Linked DNA regions of Diceros bicornis minor. The protein of the gene in region 4 purifies or fractionates together with the protein of the main gene of each other region. This does not show direct contact. Links are inferred from orthologs where the notes say so. Each region holds a gene or a part of one and is shown on either strand. Other genes may lie near its edges.

Evidence for each region.
Region 1: the proteins of KDM5A (region 4) and MORF4L1 purify together in Homo sapiens (affinity purification with mass spectrometry; 5 studies listed by BioGRID and IntAct, counting the BioPlex papers as one, with this or other methods). This does not show direct contact. The link is inferred for Diceros bicornis minor from reciprocal best matches to the Homo sapiens genes KDM5A and MORF4L1.
Region 2: the proteins of KDM5A (region 4) and ZMYND8 purify together in Homo sapiens (affinity purification with mass spectrometry; 3 studies listed by BioGRID and IntAct, with this or other methods). This does not show direct contact. The link is inferred for Diceros bicornis minor from reciprocal best matches to the Homo sapiens genes KDM5A and ZMYND8.
Region 3: the proteins of KDM5A (region 4) and RB1 purify together in Homo sapiens (affinity purification with western blotting; 4 studies listed by BioGRID and IntAct, with this or other methods). This does not show direct contact. The link is inferred for Diceros bicornis minor from reciprocal best matches to the Homo sapiens genes KDM5A and RB1.

The regions. Positions count from the first base shown.
Region 1 is NC_080744.1:71,150,292-71,157,983, reverse strand, and holds the start of MORF4L1 (mortality factor 4-like protein 1), read right to left. Parts: upstream 3,016-7,692; 5' UTR 2,959-3,015; coding exon 2,919-2,958; intron 1-2,918. UniProt on the Homo sapiens protein: Component of the NuA4 histone acetyltransferase (HAT) complex which is involved in transcriptional activation of select genes principally by acetylation of nucleosomal histones H4 and H2A.
Region 2 is NC_080758.1:14,223,282-14,230,639, forward strand, and holds the start of ZMYND8 (MYND-type zinc finger-containing chromatin reader ZMYND8), read left to right. Parts: upstream 1-4,339; 5' UTR 4,340-4,378; coding exon 4,379-4,422; intron 4,423-7,358. UniProt on the Homo sapiens protein: Chromatin reader that recognizes dual histone modifications such as histone H3.1 dimethylated at 'Lys-36' and histone H4 acetylated at 'Lys-16' (H3.1K36me2-H4K16ac) and histone H3 methylated at 'Lys-4' and histone H4 acetylated at 'Lys-14' (H3K4me1-H3K14ac).
Region 3 is NC_080748.1:28,794,701-28,801,820, forward strand, and holds the start of RB1 (retinoblastoma-associated protein), read right to left. Parts: upstream 3,008-7,120; 5' UTR 2,773-3,007; coding exon 2,639-2,772; intron 1-2,638. UniProt on the Homo sapiens protein: Tumor suppressor that is a key regulator of the G1/S transition of the cell cycle. The hypophosphorylated form binds transcription regulators of the E2F family, preventing transcription of E2F-responsive genes.
Region 4 is NC_080756.1:59,031,373-59,038,791, forward strand, and holds the start of KDM5A (lysine-specific demethylase 5A), read right to left. Parts: upstream 3,021-7,419; 5' UTR 2,776-3,020; coding exon 2,611-2,775; intron 175-2,610; coding exon 97-174; intron 1-96. UniProt on the Homo sapiens protein: Histone demethylase that specifically demethylates 'Lys-4' of histone H3, thereby playing a central role in histone code. Does not demethylate histone H3 'Lys-9', H3 'Lys-27', H3 'Lys-36', H3 'Lys-79' or H4 'Lys-20'.

The DNA.
Region 1 (7,692 bases), on a different chromosome or scaffold from region 4:
ACAGCATTAATAAACAGCAGCACCAAAGATCAGATCTCTGTCTCCTAATTTCACTTTCCAGGTACACTTTAAAGGCACCCTGAAAATGGCCCTACACCCCCCTCTGGCTGCTGCTGTCAAAGAAAACTGCACTGATGCTAAGTGCAATTTTGACCTCCATTCTAGCAACCTGGCCCTAATACTGTTGAAAAAATATACAGCTAGCTAGGGAGTGCACCACAGAATAACAAATGCCTATTATGGAAGTGGAGAGAAAGACTGGCAATTGGGGAAAGAGCAAACCACTGTAATAGATACATTTTTTTAGATCCTTCTCCACTCTTAATCCTTTCCAGCAAACTACAAAGGTAATTCTGCCCAATGCTCCCAAATTCAAGGTTGATGAGATTCCAATTCCCCATCTTCCCATTGGTTTGTGCTTACTAGGAACATCACTCAAAAGCCCGCATCAGTCTCTCAATTCCTGACAAGGCAAAAGGGCCTTCCCTCTGACAATGGGCTAGACGCCCAACAGTTTTCTTTACCCTATGCTTTAACAGAATTTCAAGTGCAGTGCAAAACAGTCACTGTGCTTAAAAATTGCTGACAGCATATGCTGTACCATTATTAGATGAGAAAAACTTGGGCGTTTAAAGGAATCAGGAAAACAATACTACTTCTGATAACTCATTTTTCCACTACATTGATTTTTCTACATTTTGATATACTTGGCACTGAGTATTTCTACTTTTTCCTACAATATATTCTCTAAGTATGTCTTAAAAATAACTAACTATAATTTCTTAAAGATGGTTATACAACTCAGCTTTGACACAAGAGTAGAAAACACATCTGGAAAGTGATGGTTAAGGGCAGAGACTCTCTTAGGTAGCTTTCAAAACCTTACTTAATAAGGGTACCTTGGTTCCTATTCTTCTCTATTTCACCACAATAGCAGCACATGGAGTTCCCTACGCCGTTATCCCCCCTCACTCGACCATCTCTTTAAGTTTAGAACTAAAGCACTTCCTCCAGAAAGCCATCCTTGACTGTTCCAAGCCTCAGAGATTTTCCTTTGATATCCTACAGTAGGGATTAACTTTTTGTGCCATGGACCCGACAGTTTAGTGAAGGCTACAGGACTTTTCCTAAAATGTTTTTATGAACACACAAAACACAGTACTACAAAGGAAATCTACTGTATTGGAATAGTTACCAAACACTTTAAATATCATTTTCTATATTACATGAGCTCTTTAATTGATGTAGTAAACATTTAGCTGCAGATCCAGTAACTATCATAATTCTGAAGTAATGAGGAGCATAAGTGACATCCGACTATATCTCCCACAACTGTAAACCCTGGGATATGAAAACACACTGCCACTACTACTGCTAGGTTTTTCTTTTGGCGGGGGTGGGGGCGCCCACATTCATAATTAAAATACTAAATTTCAGTTAGATAATAAAAAAAGAAAAACTTTTCCCGTCCAAGTTCACGGATCTTCTGAATTAAATCCACTAACTCTAGATTTAAAATCTCTGCTCTAAAACACGCGATTTAAAAAAAAGAATCCATAGGAGGTAGTCACAGCTTCTCAAAACGGGAGAAGGCAGGTATTAAGAGTCTGTCATTATCAAAAATACCCTTGAAAAACTCTTAAATATTCCATAAGGTTACAATATACTTGGGGTTTGAGTATATGACTCTAACGGTAATCCTAACGCACATTAACGTTTGAAAATCCTTACAAGAAAATTTTTTTGCAGACATCTGGACATCTATGGTAACTAGCACATATATTCATAACAATGAAAAGGTAATTTTAAAGCGTTCCTGCTGCGTTTTATTTCCACTTTAGTTTACTATAAAGCCTCCACTTTAATATACATTAATACATGTGTTAATTGTGAAAATTAAAGAGCTGTCTTCCATTGGAAGTCAGGTTCCACCGTCAGCCAAGACCTGTCGATCAAAACCCAATTAATAAAAATCTCAACTTTCAAGTTACTATTAAACGTTATTGCAATTAATCAAACAGTTGCTGTATTTAAAAGATGACATCAAGGCAATAGGACTTATAAATGGAAACATCACAATACTGCATTAAAGGAGCTTTTATTTGTTTTTATACAAGCAATCGCACAGCATGAGCGCGCGCACTCTCCCTTCGGATCTTGGCACCGGGCTTTTCGGAGAGCAAAACGATGCCTTCGGGCGACACAAAGCAGACAAAGACGCCCCTGCTCCTTTCTCCGGCCCCTACCCCTCTCCCCGAGGTCGGCGCGGGGGAACCGGCTTCCGCGCGCTCGCGGGGGAAGGGGGCGCTGCATCTGCCCTCGAGCTGCGGCCGCGGCCGGCGCCGGCGGCCATGATGCGCCAGCCATCTCGCAGCGGCCATTTTACAACGCAGTTCTCCCGCCGCGGGGCGCGAAGCCCACCCCCCGGCCGCAGCCCCGAGGCTCCACCGAACGCCACCACCTTGGGGCTCGAGGCGGCTCCGGAGCGCCCGCCGCTGGCCGCCCCCGCGGCCGGAGACCCCGTGCGAGCGCCCGAACCGGCCGCCGCTCCCTCCCCTCCCCTCCGCCACATCACTTCCCCTCAGCGCCGCCATGGCGCACCCGTCGCCGCCCGACAATAGGCTACTTTCTCCGCGCCCTCTTCCTCAGAACAATAACAAACACTTGACTACGGCTCTGCCACGCGCCAGGCGCGCTCTCCCACTCGCACGCCCGCGGGACGCTTTCGCTTCACACGGCGTCTTCTCCCAATGACGCACCGAAACTACCCGCCGCAATGCGCTTTCTGCACAAAGCCCTGCCCGCCGCCGTCTCGGGGCGCAGCCCAGGCCGCCCCCGGGCCCCCAAATTCGACCACATCAAGCCCGCCTCCCTCTCCTGCGCCGTTAGGTGCCCTTTCCCAAAAGGCCGAGACTCACCCTCCTGGAATTTAGGCTTCGGGTCCTGCTTCGGCGCCATTTATAAGTGATTCGCCGCCGCCTCCTCCTTCTCCCACCACCCCCGACTACCGCCCCCTACTCTCTACCCCACCCAACTCCGCGTCAGACGCGCCGTCAGGCACCGCCAGCTCTACATCCTGGGCCCGATTTGCCAGCGCCCGCAGACCTCACAGCACCGCGACCCGCGCAGCCGCCGCTCCAGCCAACGGCTGCCCGCCGCGCACGCGCCCCTGCGCCCGCGCCGCCCCGGGGCACGCCGGGATTGGTAGTTCCAAGGCGGCTGAGGCGCCGCGGGGTGGGGGAAGGGCGGTGCCCCTGGCCCCCCCCCCCCCCCATTCCCCATTTACCTGCTCCCGGACCGCCAGGGGTTGTTCAAGCCTGGATTTGATTTTGTGCGTTGTTGGTGCGAGGGGAAGTGTGGCGGTGTGCATCACCGGCGATAAAAGAATGGGAAAAGCCCAGTTGTGGAGTCCCATGGGCAATATAGGGCCACAATGATGTGGGCTTTGAAGTGGCCTGAGAGAAAAGGCTGCCTCTGAAGCCTACCTGCAAAAGCATCTCGAGTAGTTTCTGCATAGGACAGCTTTAGGGCCAGCAGTCTGGCCAGAAAATGGAGTCGGCGTCTAGAAGTTTCGTTGGTTAGCAAGCTCACTGCCAGTTTATTTGGTGGCACTAATGGCCGTTTGTCGGCGCCTGCTCATACCCTTTTCCAGGAAATGAGGAAGAATGGGAGACACTAGGCAGGCTGGGGATCGAGCTTTGGCTTTTCGAGATAATGGAGTTCTGCGCGCCACCGAAAGAGGCTAACGCGAAAAATGCCGTATAATATCTAAGCGGGAGTTCTGCACTTGCCCTATTTGTGCAATCTTTTGTCACCTAATTTCTTTGGGCTATTATTAAATATACACACAACTTAAACGAATTTCCTCATGTCGTTCCCATGTTCAAAAAGTCCTTAGTTTGCTCAGCTGCAAAATGGGGAGAATAATAGCACTTTTCCATCGGTTTACTGTGATAGTTGCATGGAAAGGCTTCTGCGGTGCTTAACAGTGAATCAGTGCTCAACAAACGTTGAGGAGGAGGAATCCCAAAGTCCTTAGCCTGGCATTCAAGTGCGTCCACAAGCAGTGCTCAACCATCCCTCAGGCCTTACACTTGTCTCCACGGCTGTTCTAAACCCGCCCCTGAGCGTGCTATGCATCCCACCAATTCTAGACTCCTCTCCATTTATCTGACTCCGGTTTCTTTTTCCATCTTCCTTCCAACACAATGGCTTCTTGGGCCACAGAAATCCACAAAGAACCGCCATTCCAGTTGTCTATACACCACCTTGCTGGTACTACTCCTTCAAGTATCAAAGAAAGGGGCAAGGGCCTCTTTGTGACCCCAACCAAACTGTCCGGCACACTTCTTTTTTAAACTTTTTGAATAAAAATACTTTAAAATAATTCAATAATTCAAAATTTTAAAAATATAAAAATGAAGATAGTGAAAAGTTCCTTTCGCACCTCGGTCCCTCATCTGCCCATTCCCGCAACAAAGGTACTACTGTTACAGTTGTTGGAGGATCCTTGCAGAGTTCTTTATCCTAGCAGCCTCATTATGTTCTTTATTTATATTAAACTTAATTTTTTGCCTTTGTTTTAACTATACAAGTGATACTTGAATATTTGGGTTGTTCATGATGCAACAATTCACAAGTATAAAATACAGGGCAAAACTTCAAGAATCCTTTTATTTTCCCTCATTTACTTCCCCATCAGTTGGCATGGACATTTTTCTGTACTCCCTATTGTTTTTTCTTTTACCGTAAATAGACTGTACGTATTGTTCTGTGTCTTCTTCTTTTTTAACTTAACGATATGACTTAGAGATCACTCCAATTACATGTGTCCATCTCACATTTTTAATTGGTCATGACATACCATAGTATAAATAGACCATAATTTATCTAACCTTGGTTCTGTTGCTGGACATTTAGGTTGCTTTCAATTTTCCACTGTTAGAAACCTACGTCTTTCAAACCTAAATCTTTGTGCACACTGCTTTTATTTTTTTTAAGAGCCTAGATGTAGAATCACTGAATCAAAGGATGTGGGCATTTTAAACTGTCTTATGAAAGGCTTCATCAATTTACATTTCAACCAGCAATTTAGGAGAAGGCCTGTTTTGCGACATCCTTGCCTAACAAAGTAATACCAGTCTCTAAAATTTTGTGTTAATATAACACATGTTGTACAAAGGAAACCAGACAGCAAAGAAATATACTTTATCGATGGTGTTAGAAATCAGGAGCATGATTAACTGGAGTGGAAGGGGGCACTGACTTGGACACGGGCACTTAGGGAACTTCAGGGAGCTGGAAATGTTCTATATCTTGATCTGGTGTGGTTACAAAGGTGTTTACCTATGTAAAATTCATGAAGCTGTACACTTACGAGTAATGCACTTTATCTTATCCACATTATGCCTTAATAAAAATATCTCAAAAGTCACTTTATTTTATATTTTATTATGAAAATTTCAAACATACAGAAACGTAGAAAGAATACATTATATATCATCTCATTTCAACAATTGTATTTTCCCGTATTTGCCTTGTATCAGCACCTATCATGTCTGATTTCTTCAGTATGTACTTCCAAAATAGAAAGGCATTCTCCTACGTACCACAATACTGTTGTCACACCCAACACGATTAACAATAATTCCCTAAAATTATACGATTTCTACTCCACATTTCCACACTTGTTCCTAAAATATTTTTATATTTGTATGCTTGTTGCTTGTTTTTTCAAAACAGGATCCATTAAATGACAATGTATTGCATTTGGTTGTTAGAGCTCATCTTTTTAACGTTCTAGACCAGAAATTCTTAAAGTAGGAGTCCATGGATACAATTCAAAGGGTCCGTGAACTTGGATGGGAAAAACTTACATCTTGATTTTCACCGAACTTGTGAAATTTAGCATTTCCTTTTGTTATAAATGAAGGTACCAAACTACAATAGTATCAGCAGCACACGTGGCTTTGTCACAATAAAAATCAGATGTTTTCATATCACATTACAGTTCCTACATATATCTCAGAGATATTTACATTCATCATTCCTTTGAAATTATTGTACTTATTAGACCTGCTGTTAGATCTTGTTATTTAATGCATTAAAAATGAAGCATGTACATTACCATATCATATTTTAAGATGTTTTGATAGCTGTATTTCAATATAATTGTTTTCTTTTATAATCCTATGTTTTTTATTTTGTACACTTAAAAACATTCTGAAAAAAGTGTTCATTGGCTTCACCAGACTGCCATGGGGGTGGGAGCGGAGCCCTTGGCACAAAAACAGTCCACCCACACATATACACCTTATTATTAGTGGTATTAGTATTTGTTCATGACATTTGCTTTTGAAGAAACTGAGGCTTTTTGAATGTCTGACATTCTGGATTTATCTGATTGTTTATTCATGGTGTCACTTAACTCGTTTCTCTTTTCTCTGTATTTTCTACAAACTTAAAGTTAGGTCTCAAGACTTGATTAGATCTGAGTGTTTTTAACAATATGTTATAGCTGATGCTATGCACTTCTCATTGCATCACATCAGGAGGCACGTGATGTCTGGTTGTCTCATTAGTGATGCTAAATTTGATCACTGGACAAAGAGGTTACTTGTTTCCTTGGACACTTTTGGTTTTGCATAATGAAATAGTTTTTTAATTTAAAAACACATACCAAAGCAGAGGGGATAGTACAATGAACCATGGTGTATCCATCATTCAACTTCTGTAGGTATTAACATGTGGCTAATCTTGTTTCATTTATACCCACCTATTCCTCCATCCACCCAAATACCTACACACAAATCCCAGATATCATATCTATTTCATTCATAAACAAGTGAGTAGGCATCCCTAAAAGATAAAGGCCCTTTTTAACACAGTACCATTATTACATAAAAAAAAATAATAATCCCTTAATATCTTCAAGTATCCAGTCAGTGTTCAGATTCCCCCGATTGTCTCATACATGTTTTTTTATGATTGCTTGGTTGAAATCAGGATCCAAACACAGTCCACACATTTCATTGCATTTCATTTAATTGAGTTGACTCTGTTTGTCTCTTTCTTTTTCTTGACATTTACTTGTTGAAGAAACTGGATCACAGAGAATTAACACACTTTCTTAAATTCATTTATAGAATAATTGAATGTAAAGTTTTCAAATATGAGTTCTATGGGAGAATAAAATGTGTTTGATTTGGTATATCTTTGAATATATTCTTTTAGTACAAATAGTAATAAATCATTAGTCAACATAATAAATTATCAGCCAACAATAAGAACAAAATATCCTTTGAGATCAAGCTCATTTTTAAATGTTACTTCTGAAGGAGCTGTGATCCTAACTTCCTCACTTGAGCTGAACTGAGGTCTACATTGAAACAAGCCATTGCTTTTCCTAAGGCTTTTGAAATGAAATGAAGATGATAATTACTTAATATAAGGTATAAAAAAATAAATTTAAAATCAAAATCACTTCCTGATTTTATTAGTTTCCTGGGGTTACCATAATAAAGTACCACAAACTGGGCGGCTTAAACAACAAATTTATTGTCTCATAGTTCTGGGGGCTAAAAGTCCAAGATCAAGTGGTTGGCAGGGTCAGTTCCTTCTGAGGGCTGTGAGGGATAATCTGTTCCATGCCTCTCTCCTAGCTTCTGGTTGTTAGCTGGCAATCTTGAGCAT
Region 2 (7,358 bases), on a different chromosome or scaffold from region 4:
GGGAGGGTCCTTCCTTGCTCGTCCTGGCTGCTGATGGTTTGCTGGCAGTCTTTGGCGTTCTGTGGCTTCTAGAGGCCTTGTTCCAATCCTCTGTCTTCACCCGGCCGTCTTCCCTCTATGCGCATCTGTCTCTGCGTCCAGATTTCCCCTTTATAGAAGGACACCAGTCACACTGGATTAGGTCCCACCCTCACGACCTCATTTGAACTTGATTACCTCTGTGAAGATCCTATTTCCAAAAAGGTCACATTCTGAGCTACTAGGGGGCCAGACATCTCTTTTTGGGGGGATCACAGTTCAACCCCTAACAGCAGGGTATGGGATTGAAGGGTGCTGCTTCAGGGAGGGGGTCAGGGAAGGCCTCTGAGTTGATAACATTTGAGCAGAGACCAGTATGAAGAGAGAGGTGAGCCATGTGGCTATCTGGGGAAGAACATTCCAGGCAAAGGGAACAGCAAGTGCAAAGTGGCATGATCAAGGGGCCTACCTCACAATGCGGGGAGAATCAAGGACTTAATATATGAAAAATGCTGAGAGGCCTGCCTGCCTGGCACATAGTTAGCAGGCAGTTAATGAGTCATTATTATCATTATTATTATTGTTATTATTGATCCTTTTAACAGGCTCTGATTCGGTGCCTGCTGTGGGCCTGGCAGCCTTCTGGTTTTGGGGTGCTAGAATGATCTAGCCAGACAGCGTCCTGTCCTCATGGTACTGATGGCCTAGTTGGAGGAGGCTAAGACACCAAGAAGTCAACAGAGAACCACATGTGGTGTGATTGCTGGTAGCCATGTGCTCAGTACAAAAGGGTGACGTCATAGAGGGTGACTGCTGGGCGGGGCTGGGGCCTCTCCTCTAGATAAGGCAATCAAGGAGGGCATCTCTGAGGAAGTGACCTTCAAGCTGAAGGATCTTTCCAGATGAGCATGTTGTTAGGGGAAGTCTCTGGAGAAAGGGCTGCTGGTCAGGTCGAGATCCGTGGCCAGGCTGGCAGTGGCCTTTTGGGAGATGTCCTGAAGGTGAGAACACATAAATCTGATAAACGCCTGTGAATCACTTCCACTGAATTATAAAGAGCATGGATCCTGATCAAATTGGTGTCAAACTCCAAACTTCCTTTACCACCCGCCACAGCCATCCCAACCCTACACTGAATAAAGAAAACATAAGTGAGAAATAGAAAATAGTTCCCTAAGTCAGACCCCAGTGTTCACGTCTGGCTTCCAGACCATGTAGGAGCAATTAAGAACAGGCACCATGGATGCCCGTTTACTCTGGAGGAGAGTTGATCAGAACGTCCATCAGATGGCTCCATGTTCTCAGAGGGTTCTCTGGGTTGGAGTCAACACATCTCCTCAAATACCCTAGAAAATCCTTTTCTCTTGGGAATTCATTTATCTCCTAATGTTTCTGGGCAGTCAGGAGGGGATGGTAGGGGTTTAGTGAATGCTGAATGCAACCCTGTTGAGTCGAGTCCTCTGAAGTCCCTTCTCATCTAGAAAACACCCAGGGCTGCCTTTCTGACATTCCCACGGTCAGGTTTCTTCCCATTTGAAGCAACATTTTGTCATTTTGCTTCATTTCAGGAGAAAAGCCAGAAATATGACTTAAACTTAATTTCCCCCCACGTAGTTAGGGCTATGGAGAAAGCACAGGAAGACACGCCTGGATTCAAGATCTGGAACACGGGTGAGAGAGAGAGAGAAGAGAGGGAGAGGGAGAGCGAGCACTCTCTTATAATGTCATGGAGACCCTGGTGGATTTGTATTGTCAACCCACAAAAACAGAAACCAGTTTAAGAGGCAAAGAGTTTATTTGGGATCAAAAAATTGCAATTTGGGGAGCACAGACACAGGTAGAAACCCATATAGTGTCCCAGTTACAGGAGAGGGGCTCAGGGTGTTGATGGGAAAAAGGGAGGATGAGGTGAGTTGTACTGAGTTCACTGGTGCTGGCTGAGCTAAGTACTTCATGGATTGTACACAAGTCTGTACTCATAGATTGGCTTGAGATACGGTCATCAGGCCAAAGGCTGGACTTGTCCTTCATCGACTGGTTAGTGATTCGTCATCGGCAAAGTCCACTTTCATGGATCCTTACAAACAGGCTATTCTTGTCTTTACCAACTTCTTGGAATGTTGTGGTTTGGTCTAGTTTGAAATATAAAGACAACAAGTTGTGCAAGGCAGTTCCTCTGAAATGGCTGCTCCGGCTCTGTTTTAATATGGCTCCACTCATGTCACCTTTCACAGTATTCACTCATTCCACAAATATTTATGGAGCCAGGCACTTTGCTGGGCTCCAAGAGTCCAGCATCGAAACCAACGTCATGTCCCTGCCCTCCTGTACCTCACAGTGTGTTGCACATTCACATCTGATACAGGTTCAAGAAGAGCTTTGGCATGAGAGTCCCAAAGACTGGACACGTTGCCTCTTGGTCCTCCCACTGAACAGCGGTCCTCAGTTTTCCTCCTCTGTAAAACGGGTTCAGCCATCCATGCTGCGTAGTTCAGAAGGGCTTGTGGGAGGGCCCCAGGAAATGGCATCCAGGAAAACGGAGTAGAAGGATGGCTGTAGTGGTTGCTCCTTATGGCGTCTGTATTGGGTGCTAAGAACTGTGTGGGTCATTTTCTTTGAATCCTAACTCCACCTGAAGTGGCTGGTGCCGTCTTGCTTATCCAGAGGCAGAAACGGGTCAGAGCGGTTGAGTCACTCTTCCAAAGAGGCTCAGGACTCCAAAACGGAAAGGTAACTGAGAGAGGACACCGCTGGGGAGAGTTTGATGCGACCTGAGAGTTTGGAGTGCCACGTTAAATACCGCAAGTACTTAGACTAAAAGATTCTTGGTTGTTTATCTGAAATTCACATTTAGCTGGGCATCCCATATTTTTATTTGTTAAACCTACCACCCCACAGAGATTCTGACGTCAGGCTGGTGGAGGCCCGGGGTGTGGCTGAGACAGGAGGCCTTGGAATGAGCCACCAGCCCTGGGGCTGGTGAGCCAGGGGGTGGGTAGGAGCCACGAGAAGGGGCAAAGACGGGAAGGCCCAGAATCCCTGCGATGTCTGCAGCCTCCTGCCCCAGGGTGATCCACCAGTCCTGCCCCGGGGACTTCAGCCTCAGCTCCTCAGCTGCTCCTTTGTTTGAGCTGCTCCTCGGGAATTCCAAGCAGCGAGCTTTGTGCTGACCCGCCCTGCTCGGCGGCTCCTCTGGGCCACTCCCACTTCCATTTACACACAAATCCCTGTAGCTTCCTTTTGTAACCTGGTTACTCCCAGCCAGCTTCAGTTTTCCTGCATCCTCATTAAAACTCAACTCTCCTAATTCTTGGACTTGAAAATTGGGGATTCGGGGATCCTCGCATTTGATTCATTCAGCCATTCCCTGTTTAACATTCACCAAATTATTTTTGAGCACCTACTATGTGCCAGGGAGATAGAGAATTGAACAAGAGGCACTAAATAAGAAATCAATAATAGGAATTTATACTCAGTTACTAAACATGTATTACATATTAAATTATGATTGCCATAAGCACCTTATAGCAGGGGGATCCATTTTATTGAAAAGTGGGTCCAGGAAGGCTACCTTGAAGAAATGAATTTTGTGTTTTTTTTTTTAAATAATTTTATTTATTTTTTTATTTTTCCCCCCAAAGCCCCAGTAGATAGTTGTATGTCATAGCTGCACATCCTTCCAGTTGCTGTATGTGGGACGCGGCCTCAGCATGGCCGGAGAAGCGGTGCCTCGGTGCGCACCGAGGATTTGAACCCTGGCCGCCAGCAGCGCCAGCAGCGGAGCGCCCGCACTTAACCACTAAGCCACAGGGCCGGCCCCTGTGTTGGGTTTTGAAGGATGTGTAGGAGATACCTGATAACAACAGTGATAACTAAGTGGTGCCAGACACAGCGCTAAATAATGACTTTTACTACTGGAACTGATTTAATCCTGATGACGCTCTGGGAGGTGTTATTATCCACATTTCACAGGCCCAGAGAGGTTAAGTTACTCGCACAAGGTCACACAGTGAGTGAATGGCAGCGTTAGGATTTGAACCTTCCAGGCTGGCTGGGGTCTGGCTGGAGCTCAGAGAATGGAGCTGAAGTTGGAGAAGGGAATCCTGCAGGCCCGCGAAGGCTCACTTAAGAATTTGAGACTTTGGCCAGAGAACAATGGGAAACCTTTGAAGGGTCTTAGAGGTGGGGGGTGGGAGATGGGGGTGTGTCCTGGTCCAAATTGAAATTTCAAAAGATCCCTCTGGCTGCTGAGGGTGGGGGATGGGAGCTGCCTGGGGCCTGGGGGCTGGTGGGAGGCTGTTCCCTTCCTGCCCAGATAACAGATAATGGTGGCTCCAGAGCCAGCCACCAGCTCTGCAGAATGGAGCTACGCGGCCGGAATCGACCGTGGAAGACGCTCAGGAGGTAAATCCCACGGGGCTCTGGGGTGGGAGCGGGGAGAGGAGAGGTCAAGGGTGACATCCAGGTCTGGGGCTTGCAGAACTGGATGGGAAATCCGGGAGCTTGGTGGCCTGAGAACACCTGAGAGTTGAGTTTTGACCAAATTGCTCTATGTCTGGGATTTCTTTCTGCCTTTGGTGTGTTTTTTGTTGTTGTTGCTAAATTGGTTCCTATCGCCTTTGAGTGTTTCCTGTCTGTTTTGTTTCCCTTTCTCCATAGTATTTGTTTCTCGGTATTTTAGAGACCAAGAGGGCTTAGACTTCATTTTTGTTCTGAATGTCTTCCTTTTTCAGACGGGTAAATTACTTAATCTCTCTGCGCCTCAGTTTTCTCATCTGTAAAATGAGGGTAATAATGGTACCTGGTTCCCAGAGTTATTGGGAGGATTAAATTAATTAATACCTAAAATGTGCTTAGAACAGTGCCTGGCACGTGGTGAACCTCGATAAGTGCAAGGCGCTCTTCCAAGGTGAAGATGATAATATGGATGCTGCTGCTGTTGTCATGACAACGAGGAGGGCGATGGAGGCAGGGGTGGCTGTGGAAGGAGGCTAAAGCCCAGAGAAGTCACTCCAGTTACTTAGCAAGTATATGTTCAGCGTTTTTTGTACCCGGTAACAACCAAACTATTTAAGAAGTTAAAAGCTCAAGGAATTTACATTACACTCAAATAAGCTTTGAGACACTCTTGAGTGCCAGACCTGCTCTAGACCCTGGGTGACAACAGTATATATGAAAACGACACGTTTCCTGCCTGGAAAAGCAAATATAACAACACTTAATTTTAGAATGTGTTAAGTGCTGGGGAGAAAATAAAACTGCTGTTGTGACATGATGTGATCCCAGGGGGCCTCCTGGAGGAGGTGACATTTGGTCCTGGATCTGAAGCAGAAGGAATAAGTGCAAAGCTCCATAAGGGGTGGGATCTAGTTTGGCAGGAGACAACTGGCACATTTCGAGGACCCCAAAGTAGGTCAAGGTGGCTGGAGGGCAGTAAATAGCTGAACGGGAGAATTAGTTGATTTATATTTCTACATACCGCCATCGATGAAATTACTGGTATTCGACTTTTTAGATTCATATGCAAATTTTAACTGCATGCAGTTCAACCTAATAGATTGTGCAAGAAGTTACAAAGTCCAAATTGGGGCCATGGTTGATGCACTGGAGATCTTGTATAGATACTTCAGGTAAGAAGAAAAGGCCACTCATTAGACAAATATTTATCGAGAAACTATTACGCCCCAGGCCTATGCTGGCCCCGGGAACACTGGTGAACAGATATACAAGTCCCTGCCTTAGTACAGAGGCAAAAAGTAAGTAAACAAAGAAATACGGTGCTTAGATGTTGTGCTAAGTCCTAGGAAGAAAATAACATGGCGACGTCCCAGAAAACGTAAGGGAGTCTGCGTCAGATGGCTGGTCAGGAGAGGGCTCTGGCAAGAGGTGGGACCTGAGTCGAGAAGGAGCCACATGTGAAGGAAGGTGTTCCGGGGGAGAGACTGGGCGCATGAGACTCGAGGTGGAGCGAGCCTGGAGAGGCTGAGGAGGAGCTGAGGACGGAGGCCAGTGCTCCCAGCGCAGAGGGAGGGAGGGGGAGTCATCTTAAAGTAGCCCGGAGGGGGCTCTGCAGGCCATGCTCAGAGCAACAGGATTTTCTTCCGAAAGAGAGAGTTGCAAAGGTTTTCTGTAAAGACCAGAGAGTAAATATTTTAGGCTTTGAGGGCCACATATGGTCTCTGTTGCAACTATTCAGCCTTGCCATTGTGGCACAAAAGCAGCGTGGACTATAAACTAATGAATGTCCATGGCCGTGTTGCATTAAAACTTGACTTGTGGACGCTGAAATTTGAATTTCATATAATTCATGCAGGCCACAAATTTTTATTTTTGATTTTCTTCAACCATTTTAAAGTGTAAAAAGCCATTTTTAGCTAGAGGGCCAGACAAAAACAGGTGTGGGCTGGATTTGGCCCCGGGGCTGTAGTTTGCAGACTACTGTTCTGAAGTCATGGGAAACCATTGGAGGGTTCTGAGCAGGGGAATGAAAGGTTGTGATTTATGGTGGGAAGGTATGAAGACATGGCTCAGTGCCAGAAAGTGGATGTAACTCTGTAGAAACGAGCAATCATTTAGTCATTCAACAAACACCGAGTTCCTGTAATAGATAGTCATGATGCTGCTGGAGGGGACCCAGGATCTGTAAAACACAGTTCTACACTCACAGAGTTTATAACATAGCAGGGGAGTTCGAGAGCGAGATACAAATACTTACAACTTTAAGGTCAAAAGAGAGACACAAAAAAAGCAAAAGTTGCATTGAAAAATAGCAAGGTGGAGGACAGAGGTGGCTGGAGTGGAGTGAGCTGGGGGAGCTGGTAGGAGTTGAGGGGAGGGCATGCAGAGGAATTGGGATTTTATCCCACGTGAGATGAGCAGGCTGTGGAAGGCTTTTTTAATTGTGATAAAATACACATAATGTAAAATTTACCATTTTACCCATTTTAAAGTGTACAATCCAGTGGCATTACGTACATTCACAATGTTGTGCAACTGCTACTATCTAGTTCCAGAACTTTTTCATCACCCCAAAAGGAAAAACCCTGTACCCATTAAGCAGTCACTCCTCATTTCCCCTCTCCCCAGTCCCTGGCAACCATAAATCCACTCTCTGTCTCTATGGATTTGCCTATTCTGGATATTTCATATAAATGGAATTGTACAACATGTGGCTTTTTGTGTCTGGCTTCTTTTACTTAGCATAACGTTTTCAAGGTTCATCTATGTTGTAGTATGCATCAGTACTTCGTTCCTTTTTATGGCTGAGTAATATTCCATTGTGTGCATATACCACATTTTGTTTATCCATTCATCTGTTGATGGACAATTGGGTTACTTCC
Region 3 (7,120 bases), on a different chromosome or scaffold from region 4:
TTTCCAAAATAAGGATACCACAGAGTGAAAGATGTTTGCTGGTCTGGTGAATCACATATACTTCAGAGCAGCAAAACAGCTTGGCAAAGGAAATAAGTACAGTAGCTAAAGCTGTTTGGGAAAATTGGGACAATAATAACAGCAAAAATAGGAGAGCCCATACATAATATTACAGAATCAATTCAGTATCAGTGACTTTGCTAAAATGCAGTCTACACTTATCAATGTTTCATATAAACTCTCTACCTACTAGCACTTCTCACATGATGATCAACTTGACATAAATTATTGCTACACTTATTTCAGCCTTTTCTCCTCGATCTTCCTTAACTAAGATAGGCAATTAATAAATACTTGTAGGCTAATTCCTTTTCATTCATTTAATACCTAGTTGACTTCTAAGAATAATCATAATAAGAGAAAAAGCTAATAATTTTTGAGTACTTACTATGACCCCGTTACCAAGCACCTTAGAAGCATGGTTTCACTGAACCTTCACATCAGTCCTACTAGGTAAGTACTCTTATTAACCTGTTTTATAGATAAGTACCAAATCATAGAAGTTTAAGCACTCACCTGAGGTCATGGCTAGTAGGTGGAAAACCTTGATATAAACCCAACAGTCTAACTCCATAATCCACGCCCTTGACAACTATTCCAGACTGCCAACTCTCCCTCAAAATATAATTAACTTTTGATTATCTCAACAATGAAGGTGGGGTGCTGTTTCTAGTGATGGTTTCCCTTCCAACTACATCACTTAGGCCAGAGATAATGCAACAGAAGTACGATCTCAACTCTCAAGGTAGAAATGAACTGTTACTGGAAGTGCAGTTAAATTGGGCCCTGAATCCATCCCTAATCTCAGTTTCAGATTACCAGACCAGGGTTCTACCCTTGTTAAGTAGTTAATCTACAGAGTTCGATTGCCCATGCTAATGAAACCTTTTGTGGGTCTGGATAATCAACAGCAGACTGTATCTTGTATGGATTTAACTTACAGGAGAATTTTTGACAGTTCCATCATTTAAAGGCATACAAAATAATATGTTGGGAAAAAATAAAAGAAACAAAGTTCTTCTAGTCCCAGATCTCGGCCAGAACTTCAAGAACTTCTAGTTACCCTACAATAATGGAGAATGTTTCCAAAGCTATGTGGATAACATGGAATTCTTTAAAGTAGACATTAGTGCTCTTTCCAAAGGGAAACTTGCAAGTATTGGATACATCAGTTTAATGAGAAACTAAAGTAATGTCTTCTCCCAGAACATCCTCAGACTTTTTTTTTTACTAGTGAGCATGATTTTTAATTGACCAGTAAGACAGTTCATTTAAATATATGAATTTTTAATAGCCTTTCACAGGCCAATTCCAAAAGCCCATTCCAACCTTTTACAATTCCCCTGACCTCTGTTAGTGTCTGGGGAGTTGAAAGAAATAGGACTTGGTGATGGACTAGAAGGGAGGAGGGAGTGGTGAGGGACAGAAAGGAGGCTCATTCCCTGCAATGGACGCGTAGTCTCAAAGTAGGACCAGTGCTGACAACAATAATGACAATTACACTCTCTCAATCTTAGCTTCTTAACCATAAAGAATCACAATCAAGAAAAATAAGATGTTGCAATACAATAAATGGCTCCCTGTCATGTTCTACTGCATTATCACGGACTTGCTTAAATTTAGATTCCACTTAGGAAAAAAATAGTTCCATGTGAGCACACGAACACCACTAATTTTGTACCCAAACAAACGAACAAAAGAGGGGACACCAGGATCCTTGCTGGCTCAAAGCCTAAAGGCAAAATGGAAGAAATAATGAGACATGCTGCAGCAGATTAACATGCAAGAATTTTATATAACAGGGAAAAAAGAAAACGTTTAGAAACTTTTAAGCACTTACACTAACGTTTCAAAAAACTTTTGCCCATACACGAGCTCCTCTAAAGAATTATGTTCCACCAGGCACTATCGATGGCTCTGAAGCCCAAGGCCTCAAAGCACTGTTATAAGGAAATCCTACATAGCACCTCAGTCGAGTACCCTGGGGGCAAGTGACACCCAGCACCCTACACTTCACATCCCAAGGCGTCTCTGCAGCAGCGTCGCAGGCTTTCCTGGTTGGCCTCTCCCAGGACCGGGCTTCAGATGCAGTGCGCGCCCGGAGAAAAACACTTCCCACTGCCGCATCGCAGGAAACCAAAACAGAAAGTCCAACGACCACCGGCGAACTACAAATCTCGACCGGAGAAAAACTGTCCGCCAGACACCAGTTCGTTTTTGTTTTTCTCTTTGCGTTTGATGGGGCCTCGAAACTACCCGCCGCCTGCGAGCCTCCCGACTCGCTGAGGAAAGGCGGCACCTGTCACTTCGCTCAGAGACCCGAGCCCCACCCGCCCGACACCTGTCAAGCTGGAGCCGAGACCCCTCCCGGCTGCCCTCCCCTCGCTCCCGCACCCAGACGCCTGTCATCCTCCTCCAGGCGCTCCACAGCGGCGGGGGACAAGCGGGCACCCTCCTCCCGCCGGTACCCGGACCCGGAGAAGACGCGCCCCCGCCGAGACGCCGCGGCGCCCGCCTCGACGCACCCTCGGAGCGCCCATCTCGCGCGCCGGCGGCCGCCGCGGCGATGCTCGCTCACCTGGCCAGAGGCAGGTCCTCGGAGCCGCTGTCCTGCTCGGGGTCCTCCTCCGGGGGGGGCGGGGGCGGCGGCGGCGCCGGGGGTTCGGCGGCGGCCGCGGCGGCGGCTGCTCTCCGGGGGGTTTTGGGCGGCATGACGCCCTGCCCGGGCAGGAGCCGGCGAGCGGTGGAGGTGGGCCCGGGAGGGAGGCCGCGCGCACGTCGGGCACGCCCCGTCCTCTCCGACTCCCGTTACAAAAATTTGAACGTCCCCTGAGAAAAACCGGACGAGCCCTCCCCCGCCCGGCAACCGAGCGCCGCGTCCAACCGCGGGAAAACGTCACTTCCGCCCGCGGCGTCACGTCCGCGAGGCTCCCGGGCCCGCCGGCGTCGGGAGGGAACCGGGGCGCCGGGCGGTGCGCGGGGCGGGGGTGCGGGTTCGGGAGGGCTGGGCGCAGAGCCCCGGCCTGGGCCGAGCCGCCTTCCTCGAGGCCGCCGCCGCCGCCTGAACCTGTCTCTACCCGAAAGTCTCCCTTCCGGGCCTGGGTGCCGGTCACGGAGCGTTACACAGTCTGGTGGGTGAGCCTGGCCCCCTCTGTTTGTGGGTTGAGCAGCGGCTCCCGCTCAGGCCCTGCCGGGAATATCAGGCGGCTACACCCTCGGCGGGCACGCCCCTCTCCCCCGTGGGCGGCGCCCGCCCTCCCCACCACACTCTCCCGCCCAATCCGTTAAGCAGTCGGCCAAAACAAAAACAAACATTTGTGGAACGCGTAAAAGGAGCTGAACTTTGCCAATCACTAGGAGCTACAAAGTGTAGGACAATTACTGACCTTTTAGAGATCACTAGTTAGGGAAGGGAGGAGTAGGGGCTGTGGGTAAAGAACAGATTATAGTGTGATAAATATTTTAACAGTGATGCAAAAACAGGAGGCACCGTCGAATTGTCTGAGACCTCAAAAGAGCAGCGACAGTTGAATGGAAGTTTGCCTGGCAGACTTAACATTTCAGGAGGGCTTACTATGTACCAGGGATTGTGCTGGCTGTTTTACATGATTATCTCCCTTAATCCCAGCAACAACCCTTTAAAATGAGTAGTAGTAGTATTCCACTTTCCAGATGGGGAAACAGGCTCAGAGGAGGTAATTAATTTGCCCAATATTACAGAGCTGATGGGTGGCAGAGGATTTGAACCGAGGTTCTTATCCATTACACTATGTCGTTAAAGAAAACACCATACAATTGATTATCATTCTCTATGTATACCATGACATATAGCAGGATGTAAAAAGGGTTAGCAGTCGTTGGCCTACTCCACAGCTAGTGCTGCCTAACTTCAGAAACCCTCTTTTGAGGGCCAGAAGTTTGTCAGAAGGTAGGGTCCATGCCCAGCCCCAGCTAGAGAGAGCAAATACCATCCAAGTTCCTATTCGCTTTGCCTGGGATTAGTGTAGGCAGGAGCTCAGGATGCAATTTTGGTCTTTGCAAGATCAAAAATAGTCTGCTGAAGGCCTGCTAAAATGAGATACGAGGATGACACAGTTTTTCTACCACTTAGCTATTATCATGAGGATGTGACGCTTGCAATTGCCGCAGCCATTGTGACTTAAGGCAAGCTGACCTGAAGATAAGGCAGAAATGCTAAAGATGGTACAGTAGGAATATCAAAAAATTCTGGGTCCTCGATAACATAACTGAACCTCTAACTTCACCAACCCTAGAGCTGACCTCAGCTGAGCAAGTTTTCAGTTGTTTGCACTAGAAAGCATCACGACTGATAGTATTTCTCCTATGAGCCCTTTCAAGACTGAGACCAAATCTTAGGCATGGTTTTGGCCTTAGTAGCTAGCAAAGGGTTGGGCACACGGTAAATGCTTGTTCGCTAAAGGTGGGGAGGCCAGGAGAGTGGAGGACAGTTCTGAGAACCTAAGTAAACTCTCTTCATATGTAGATATGACCTGCTTTATTTAAACTCAGTTTATCAACATTTGGATTTACCACAATTAAGATAAATCGAAGACATTTCTCAATTTACAAAAGGATGTGTATCTTTACCAAGGATTAATTTAACTGTGTCCCCTGCTACATTTAAAATCCTTACAGGAGCAATAGAGTCAATCAAAATCCTTACATCCCCTCACAGCTTTCTGTTGTAATACCAAAGTATTAGAAATTCTGCAGATTCTTAATAGAAATTTCCCCTGATCCTCCCCCACCTCCATAGTAGATTTAAGAAGATGGCTGTGAGACCAAAAAAGAAAAATCTTTCTTAGATTTTCTATCTGGAGATAGAACTCTCTTCAGCTTGAGTCTCCTTCAGTGATATCAAAATTTTTTTTTGAGTCTCCCCTAGCCTAAAAAGTCTTGTTTTGCACTCCTAAACTACCACACAGTTTCCATTTCTTTACCATCTAGCTTCTTGAAAGGGTAGCCCTATTTGTTCCATCTACTTCCTCAAACCCTCAGCCTACTAATGCCTGGCTCTCTTCTACTACTACCACAAACACTCCACTGAAATCACTCTTTCAAAGGTCACCAATGTCCTAATTGTCAGTTCAGTAGCTTCTTTTTGGTCCTCAATCTACTTGACCTTTCTTGCAGTTAACACAGTTAATAACCCCTTCCTCTTTCTTAAAACTGCCCTAGTCTTCCACAAATCTATGGTCTTGTTTTCCTCCTCCCTTCTGTTACTTCATAAACTCCTCCACTAGTTCTTCTTCTTCTCCCAGTCTCTTCAATGCAGGTTCCCTAGGACAGCACTACTCAAGATGTGGTCCTTGGACCAGTACCAGCCTCCAAACTGCTTGTGTGTAGTCCATGAGGAGATAACTATAGAAATTAAAAGTGCTTAGCAGCATTTATAGCAATTTGACATTTCATCAATATCCAAGCACATGATTATAGGACACCTCTCATTAACAAAATATAGAACAGTTCAAGTGTTCTCCAACTTGTGTGGTGAGTTGCAGGTGGCATGGCTGTGTCTTTGTCATGTGCAGTAGGACCACATTATAAGGAGTGAAATTCTAAGGTTAGTTTGTCAACTGTAACCCAAAAGTGAATAAAAATCTGAAAATGTAAATATTTATTTACTTTTATAACTTGCTATTTTTACAGTCATTTTAATTTTTAATCAAGCCTGTTTTTTGGAATTTGTAGCTAAATTAGGGAAGAAAAATTTGTCATTTGTTCTTAACCTTAAATTATAGATGGCAAAACAAACCTCACTGTCCTGTTTTGTCAAGAAAAGACACGTCAGCAGTGTGTTAGTAATAATAAAGTAGTAAACAAATCATCAGAGAAGTGATTCCAAAGAATTCAAGATCTAAGAGTTTGTACTGATTTTACTCGAGTATAATCCCCCATCTACTGAGTTCATAGCCATAACTCACAGTGAAGTGCTAAAACCAGGTACTGACTAATGAAGCAATAAAGCCATCAAACTTCAGTGGCATTTACATATAAAACATAAACTAATTATGAATTTGATAAAACATTTTGAATTGAAAATAAACTCCACACATAGGGAATTCATGGATCCAGAATCCATATCTTTGAAAGATAATTTAAATGTAACTCTAACTTTATAGGACTAATTTTTGGAACTGGCTACTGATGAAGAATTGAAGATGAATTTTGAAAATAAAACATCTCTTGCTTCATTTTGGGTAGAATTTAAAAATGAATATCCTGAGCTTGTTGAAATTGCTTTAAAATCTCTTCTTCCATCCCCTTACACATACCTTTGGAGACTGATTTCTCGATATGAATGTTATTAAAATAAAACATAGAAACAGTTTGGATATACATTATATCCTGCTAGTGACATTGTCACCAATCCAACCTAGATTAGATAATTTAACAAGAACCACACTCATTTGTCAATGTTAAAAACTTTAAATAATGAAAAACTTAAAATATTAAATATTGTTTATTATAGCATTTAATATAGGAAATTGCTACTTCACTACCAACTTTTTATTTAGTTGTTATGACTGTGGAATGACAAAAAATTAGGGGTGTATTAGCAATTTTCTATTAATCACCTACATGTACACTTTCAGTGAACGAAGTGTAGTTTTTGTAGTTTTTTTCTTTTATCCTATTTTTTTTAATTCTAATTTTTTGAAATGTAATTTTATGACTATTTAAAATACTAAAAAATGTGAGCTTGTATTTTGCGTCCCTTTGCTTTCATTTTCCTAGTAATTTTTAAAATGTTATTTTCAAAATATTTTCAAACATATCAATTCATGAAATATTGGAAATTAAAAAGAAAAGAAAGTTCCTTCACAGATAGTGTGAGATAGCACTGGCCTAGAAGATCTTCACCTCTCCTCTCTTCTTGCTCTTTTTCATTCCCATGAGTTAAATCTCCTCCCATATGTGTGTGTTCTTAGATTCTTTCAGGTTTCAAGAAATAAAGAGTTGCTCAGTTTACCTGAATTATTCAGAAGTAATGATTAGTTTAGAGGGAAAAAAGTGAAGAGCATGAAAAAAAGAGTCC
Region 4 (7,419 bases):
AACATTAACTCTGAGTCCTGGTACATAAGCTTCTCAAAGTTCTCTATCTGGATCCCTGACGTAATGAATCAGGAAGCAGAAATGGTGAACACTCACCTCAAGCTCATTCAGGCGCTGGACTCTGGGAGTGAAACGAAAGCTTTTTACTTCACATGCAAATGGAGGTTGCCAATCCTAAACAGAAAGAATTTTTTTAAAAAACATATTGGTATAAGCAAGGGATGCATTCTTCATTCCTTTAATGTAAAATGTCAGTTGCCACAAATCATGATGACAACAGATCAGTTCATAAGTCTTCTTTGTTGTAGAGACAGAAAGACTAGTATTTTTTAGGTGAATAATTTTAATATTATTTATCTCTAATTACTTATCTCTAATATTCTAAGTAATACTAAAATTACCTTATCTGTAATCCTCAACTCTCACCAGTCCCTTTACTTACATCCCACAATTATGCTTTCCCCAATTATTCAAGTGGAATGTAATGAGCTCATGTATCTCAATACAGTGTCTAACAAACATCCAAGTTTACCAAATTAAAAAAACAGAATTTGACAGAAACAAAAAATGGTAAAATTAAAATAATTTTTAAAAAGTACTTATATAATGGAATAATATGTTTTCCATTTGTGTGTAATGTGACACAGCACTTTACAGTCTATGTTATATAAATGTTATATTCAAAGCCTAGCTTCTGGGTACCCAAATATTAAAAAAAGTAAGCAAACCCACAGAACAAGGACAATTTCCAGATTGGAGATGTGGTATAACTTAAACGAGACAGCACATTTCAAGTAGGGTTCAGAGAACATAGCTTGATTTGGCCTAAATAATAGTAAATCTATTTAAAAACATGAGAAGTAGGGAAAAAAAAAAACTTATCTTACCTTGGAAACTAAAGAAATCCACCAATATTGAAATTAAATTCTGCTTGTAAACAAGATTTATTTTCAAAAATAATATGACATACAAAGAGAAGGTACATTATTTCAACCTTTTGTTAAGTAATAAAAAAGTTATAATTTTTTACCAAAAGGAACCTTTGCTAGAATTTCTAATTCCTAAACACAATAGAGTAGATGAAAATATGGTTTAGGAAAAACTTCAGTGCTTAAGGTTTTGTCAATATTAGATAATTTTGATTAAAAAAGAGTTAAGTAAAGCTTCTGGAGGATGGCAACCCATGTATCATCATTCATCATAGCAATTATCTGTTAATCCTTTGCTTGCAATTGATAGTCTATAATCTTAAATTCATTAAGCATAATGGGAGCAGCATGTCTAGATTTTAGAATCAAGCAGATTGATCTAGGTTCAAAATCTACTTTGCCACTCGCCCAAGATCACACATTTGATAAGTTATTTAACTTATTCCAACTTGCCTTATCTGTAAAATGAGACCTTATTTACCTACTAGGGCTTAAAAGAATATTAAACGAAATAATCTGTAGGTGCTAAACTAGCTCCTCCTCCTCCCTCCCATCTAAGCTCTTTTTATTCACTGTGGTAAGAGCAGACGTTTTTTAAAATGCGACATGGGTAAAACAGCACTTAATGTTTTATTTTTGTTAACGGAAGACAAAACATAAAGCAAGAGGTCCCTTTACGAAGCCCTAGGGCAATGGTTCACAAACTTTAATGTGCGTTAGGAGCCATCTAAGAGTACTTGCTAGAAAAGTAGATTCTAGAACTTCCACATCCAGAAACTGATTCTAGTCTCGCAATGAGGCCTAGGAATCTGCATTTTAGCAAGCATAGGGCTAACTCTGGTGCAGGTGGACCAGGAACATCATCTGGAAAGCAATGGTCTAATGGGTCAAGAAAAAAATCTTCTGACCTTGAGCAAATCACCCAACCTCTTGGGACACTAATTTCCGCAAACAAGGGGTATCCTAACGATTGAGAACTATAACTAACCTATAGGCAAACCCAGTTATTTGCAATCACTGCGATTCGTAAATCTTTGATCCATGGTTCCTTACATCAAAAGATGCCAAAGTTTTCTTCCACTTTTGTGACAATTTTGTCCTAAACCTCTAAATTTTAAAAATAAATGCTGCTCCTTCTCTTCCCCCGGGAAGATCTTTCCACTGCAGCAGTAACCAGTGTGGGGTTCTTGTTTGGTGATATATCCTAGGGGACAACTGGGGCTCAGATTACCGTTTAAGAAACCTTAGCCCCAAGATGAGGCCTGCAAATATTTACTAAATTAAGCATCGATAAGACTTCGATAAAAAAATAGCCGACGGAAGGGCAGTTTTTCCTATCGCACCTTAATGGGGACTGTATCTGACTGTACGTCATGGCACAATACTTCAAACACCTTATCGGCCTAAAGCCTTCTGTTACCCTTGCCCACAACCCGAAGTATCTGTTCCCAAGTTCTAGGCGGAAAGGCCCCGGGGACTCCGCTCTCTCGCGCTCAGACGTGCCTACCTAAGACTGCAAGAGAAACCAAAGCAAAAATATCCAGAAACTTAGCTTCTACTTGTTAGAAATGAGGGAGAGTAAAGATGAAAGGACAGGAGGACCGGAAAAATAAAGCTAAACCTAGCATATCGACTTCCCCACGCTCTCTTCTCCCCCTCTCTCCTCAGACTCGTACGGTACCTTGGGCGGTCGGATTTTGCAGATGCCGGTCTTCTCCGCCAGAGGCCGGATGCGGCCGATGAAGCTGAGTGGGTCTGTGAACTCCTCCCAGCTGGGCTCAAAGACTGGGCACTCCGGAGGGGGCACGAACTCCGCCGCGTAGCCCCCTGGCCCCACGCCCGCCATGGCAACACCCAAGGGACCCCGTGCGGGGACAGATGGAGAAAGGCTGGCTGAAGCCCACCGACCCCTTTCACGTCCCCTGACAGGGGCCGAAGCTCATCTTCTCGAACAAGACCTGCTCAACACGGTAAGCCCAGAATCGCTTCCTCCTCTCGTTTGTTATTGTTTCCTTCGGGGCTTTTCCTCTCAGGGCCAGGACTTTTCCGGAAGTTAACGTACTGTCAAATCCCTCCGCACCCCAAAAAACAGAATCCCTCCGCAGCAACGCGACGCCTTGTTGTACGACCTTTCTTCTTCGTGCCTTTCCTGGCAACCCAGTGTCGTTCCTGGTCTCCTTGTCCGCGAAAGTTCCGAACGGTCGGACGACTTCAAGCGGCACACCCTAGAGGTCCCACGATCTCTCCTATAGAAGAGGTAGGGGTGGGGGAAGCGGGCGGCTATGAGGCAAGACGCACTCTTCCGGCGCGGAGGAATGTGTAATACACCAGAGGGCAGAGGTTCTGCTTCCGGCGAGGAGGGTCCAGTTCCCTTTTGTGTATAAAGGGACACGAAAGCAACGCGGCCCTAACCTCAGCCGTCCCATTTCGCTGTTGGGTGTATGGTTTGTTTTAACCTACCTATCTGTGTTTTTTCAAGTAACTAAGGTTTTCAGCATCTCTCTCTTTTTTCAGTACTTTGACTGTTAGTATCTCTTTTGAATAATCTCACTCGTCACTTTGTAGCCGTCCCATCTCCATGACAACAAGTTCTGGTCCGAACCCATCCCTCAAATCCTGCCGGAGACCTTAGCCACTGTCCAGAAATTGGTTTTCCTCCACATAGAAGCAACGGCTCTTGACCTTGCTTTTCCAACTATTGACAACACCCAAGTCTCTCAACAGGAGCGCCTTCCCTCTGGCACCACATGCTCCGTAAGCCTTTCTCAATTTGCTGTAAAATCTATGACAGCTGTTCTGACCCTGCTCATCAAAACGCTCTATGCCGGTGTCCAGCTCCACTTCCTCCAAATCAGGGAGAATAAGGTAGAAAGGACTAAAGAAGAAACCACGAAAGGATAGTTCTTAGTTTAAATATTTATTGGGGGGCCGGCCCTGTGGCCTAGCAGCTAAGTGCGCAGTCTCCGCTGCTGGGGGACTGGGTTTGGATCCTGGGCGTACACCGATGCACCGCTTGTCAGGCCATGCTGCTGTGGCGTCCCATATGAAGTGGAGGAAGATGGGCACAGATGTTAGCCCGGGGCCAGTCTTCCTCAGCAACAAGAGGAGGATTGGCATGGATGTTAGCTCAGGACTGATCTTCCTCACAAAAAAAATATATATATTTATTGGAAGGAAGACTTTCTTCCCAGGGCTTGTTCTCATACTCCCTGTGCAATCTCAGCTACCCCCAGGACCTAAATTGCCAGGTATGGCTGATGCCCCCCAAATCTATTTTCAGCCTAGATTTCTCTCCTAAGTTACAGCTGTAGTACATCAAGCTACCTACTGGACAACTCCACTTGGTAAACTCAAAGTACCTTGATTAATTAATTTAAAGTTAATTTTTCCAGGAAGATAATAGTTCTTCCACTAGTTCCTCACTGTTTTTTCAGTGTTTCCAGTTTCCATGAATGACTTCATCCATCTACTCAGTTGCCAGAGCCAGAAATCTAGAAATAATCCTTGACTCCTGCTCCCTTACTGCCCATGCACAATCGTGTGTCAAGTCTGGAAATTCTATCACCTAAACATCTTCAATCCACCCATGTCTCTCCATCCTCATTATGACTAGCCTAATTTCTCTCTCACCTGAGCTATGATAACAGCACAGTTCTTGCCCCCTGTCAAATCCCTCTCCACTCAGTTGTCAGATTGCTTGTCTAAAATCCAGAATTCATCTTGTCACTTTTCATCTCCAAACTCAATAACTCCAAACTCCTTCTTAATTATTTGCTGCCTCAATTATATTGATTCTTACTTTGAGATATATTATTGCTGTGAAGCCTGTGATTTCTCCTGCACAAGTAAGAGAAGCTAGAATTTACTTTTCAGTTATTTGAACTGAACTAATTAAACATTAATTTTTCCAGGAAGGTAATAGTTCTTTCACTAGAAAAAGAAAAACCGGTACGTGATGTTAAGAATGAATGGACAGGGGCTGGCACAGTGGCTTAGTGGTTAGGTTTGAGCACTCCACTTTTGCAGCCTGGGGTTCGCAGGTTCAGATCCCAGTTGCAGACCTACGCACCACTTATCAAGCCATGCTGTGGCAGGTGTCCCACATATAAAGTAGAGGAAGTTGGGCATGGATGTTAGCCCAGGGCCAATCTTCCTCACCAAAAAAAAAAAAAAATGAATGGAGAGAGAGATTTGAGTGTTTTCATAGTCAGTAAGTGAGTAAAACTTGGAGAAAAGGTGAAAATTGGCAAAAAGTACATTTTATACAAAAAGTATAAAATGCCAGAAAGAGATCATGTGAGAAAAGACAAGATAGGCACAATTTAATTTAGCAATTAGTAGGTCATAGAGCAATTTCAAATGAAGTTATGGAGTTGAAATCCAATTTCTAGTGAGTTGCAAAGTGAATGAAAGGTAAAGTAAAGGAACCAAGCATAGACTTAAGATTCTTGGTTGTGGAGGGAAAGATGGGGTACAGGAAGAATGGACTGTCACCTTAGAAAAAAGAGGCAACTGCAAAGCAAAGGAGATCACTTATTTGGAGTCTCAGAATTGCAATTCGGGGAACACAGGTACCCGCAGCAGCCAGAAAAGTGTCCCCCTGAGGAGTAAAAGTCAGATGTTTTTATTAGCAAAATGGAGAGCCCAGAACAATTACCTCAGTTGTTTGTTAAGATTTATGAATGGAGAGTGAATTAGCATTGGCTTACTCAAGGACATCTTGTTGTTACCAGAAAAAGTATATTTTTGCACAGTCCTTCAGAAAGTCCTTTCTCAGCAAATATCTCCTTTTGGCAAGTCAGCAAGGTCAGCACAGTTTCATATTTTTAAGAAGATGGAGTCCAGAGTACAAAATGGAGTCACTGCTGAGAACTTGTTTCACAGGAGTTTGTAAAGAAGAACCAAACAAACTTTTTACGAGCTAGGAGAGATGAGTACATCTAAGTGCTGAGAAGAAAAACTAATGGAGCACTGGAGATTGAAGATAGAAGAGAATAGTCAAAGTCCCTAAGAGATCGAAGAAACTAGAGCATGATGAGGGGGGGCCACCTCTTTCTCTGAAGCAGAGGAAGGAGGTAAGTACAAGTACAAAGATGATAAGTAAGTGGGTGAGAAGGCAAGAAGTTGAGGCAGTGGTGCCTAATAGCCTTTGAGAAATGAAGAGAAAGGTTCTAGGAGGGCTGCTTTAGGGGCTTGAAGCAAATGGTGAGTGTCCAAAATAGCTACTGTGGAAATTAGAAGGAGCTAATGTTTCCTGAGAAGTGTTCTTCACTTCTGAGGGCTTAATTAAGGTTGGAGACTGTACGTTTATGTTAATACCATTTCCCATAAATGTGAGACATTCTCCAGCAGCATACATAGAAGGCAGATGTAAAGTGTGGGGATTATCAACATAGTTACAACAGGAAGATAAGGAAAAAGAAGTGAGATTACTGGCAAGAACATTAATGTCATGCAGCACAAGACTAAGCTGATAGGAAAGAAAAGCTCTGGGGTGGGAGAATATATCATGTTAGTGTTCCCCAGGCTGCTTTTCTCACAGCCTCCAAACATGTTCTTCCCTTGTATTTCCCATTCTGATTAATGTCAGCTACTCCAGCTAGCTTCCTGTCCTGGAGCCAGTCAATTGGAACCTTTAAATATCTCCCATTTCCCCCTTCATAGTTCCATCGTTGCCACCCTTGTTTAGGCCTTTTCCTTCATATGAATTATCACTGTAGCCTCCCAGATCTTCAGGCATTGTTCTTAATTGATCCTCTGCCACCAGTGTGATTTTTTAAAAAAATTATCAGTCTGGGCTGGCCCAGTGGCATAGTGGTTAAGTTTGCACACTCCGCTTCGGTGGTCCAGGGCTCACAGGTTCAGATCCCAGGCACAGACCTACGTACCACTTCTCAAGCCATGCTGTGGCAGGTGTCCCACATATAAAGTAGAGGAAGATGGACAGGGATGTTAGCCCAGGGCCAGTCTTCCTCAGCAAATAGAGGAGGATTGGCAACAGATGTTAGCTCAAGGATAATCTTCCTCTCACACACAAAAAAATTATCAATCTGATGTTGGGTGATTTCAAGAGAGGGATGGGTTGAGAATAACCTTTTGACATTTGAGTGAATGATGATGCATTAATGTAGATGTAGAATGGAAGAAGAAGAGCAGTCTAACAGGAGAGGCAGTATACATGTAGGGAGGAATGTTAGACATACATTCATGTGTTCAACAACAGTTACTGAGCAGGTGCTATGTTCCAGGCACTCTTCTAGATGCTGGATATATAACAATGAACAATAAAAAGACAAAGTATCTCCCCTCACAGAGCTTACCTTCTAGTGGTGAGAGGAGGCAAAATAATAAGCACAAGCAAATAAATACATACTATTTTAGGTGGTGCTATGGTCTTTTAAAAAGTAGAGAAGGAGGGATTGGGTGGGTGGTAAGGGGGGATAGGGTAGTCAGAGAAGGGCTCAAGATGGATGACATTTGAATAGAAATT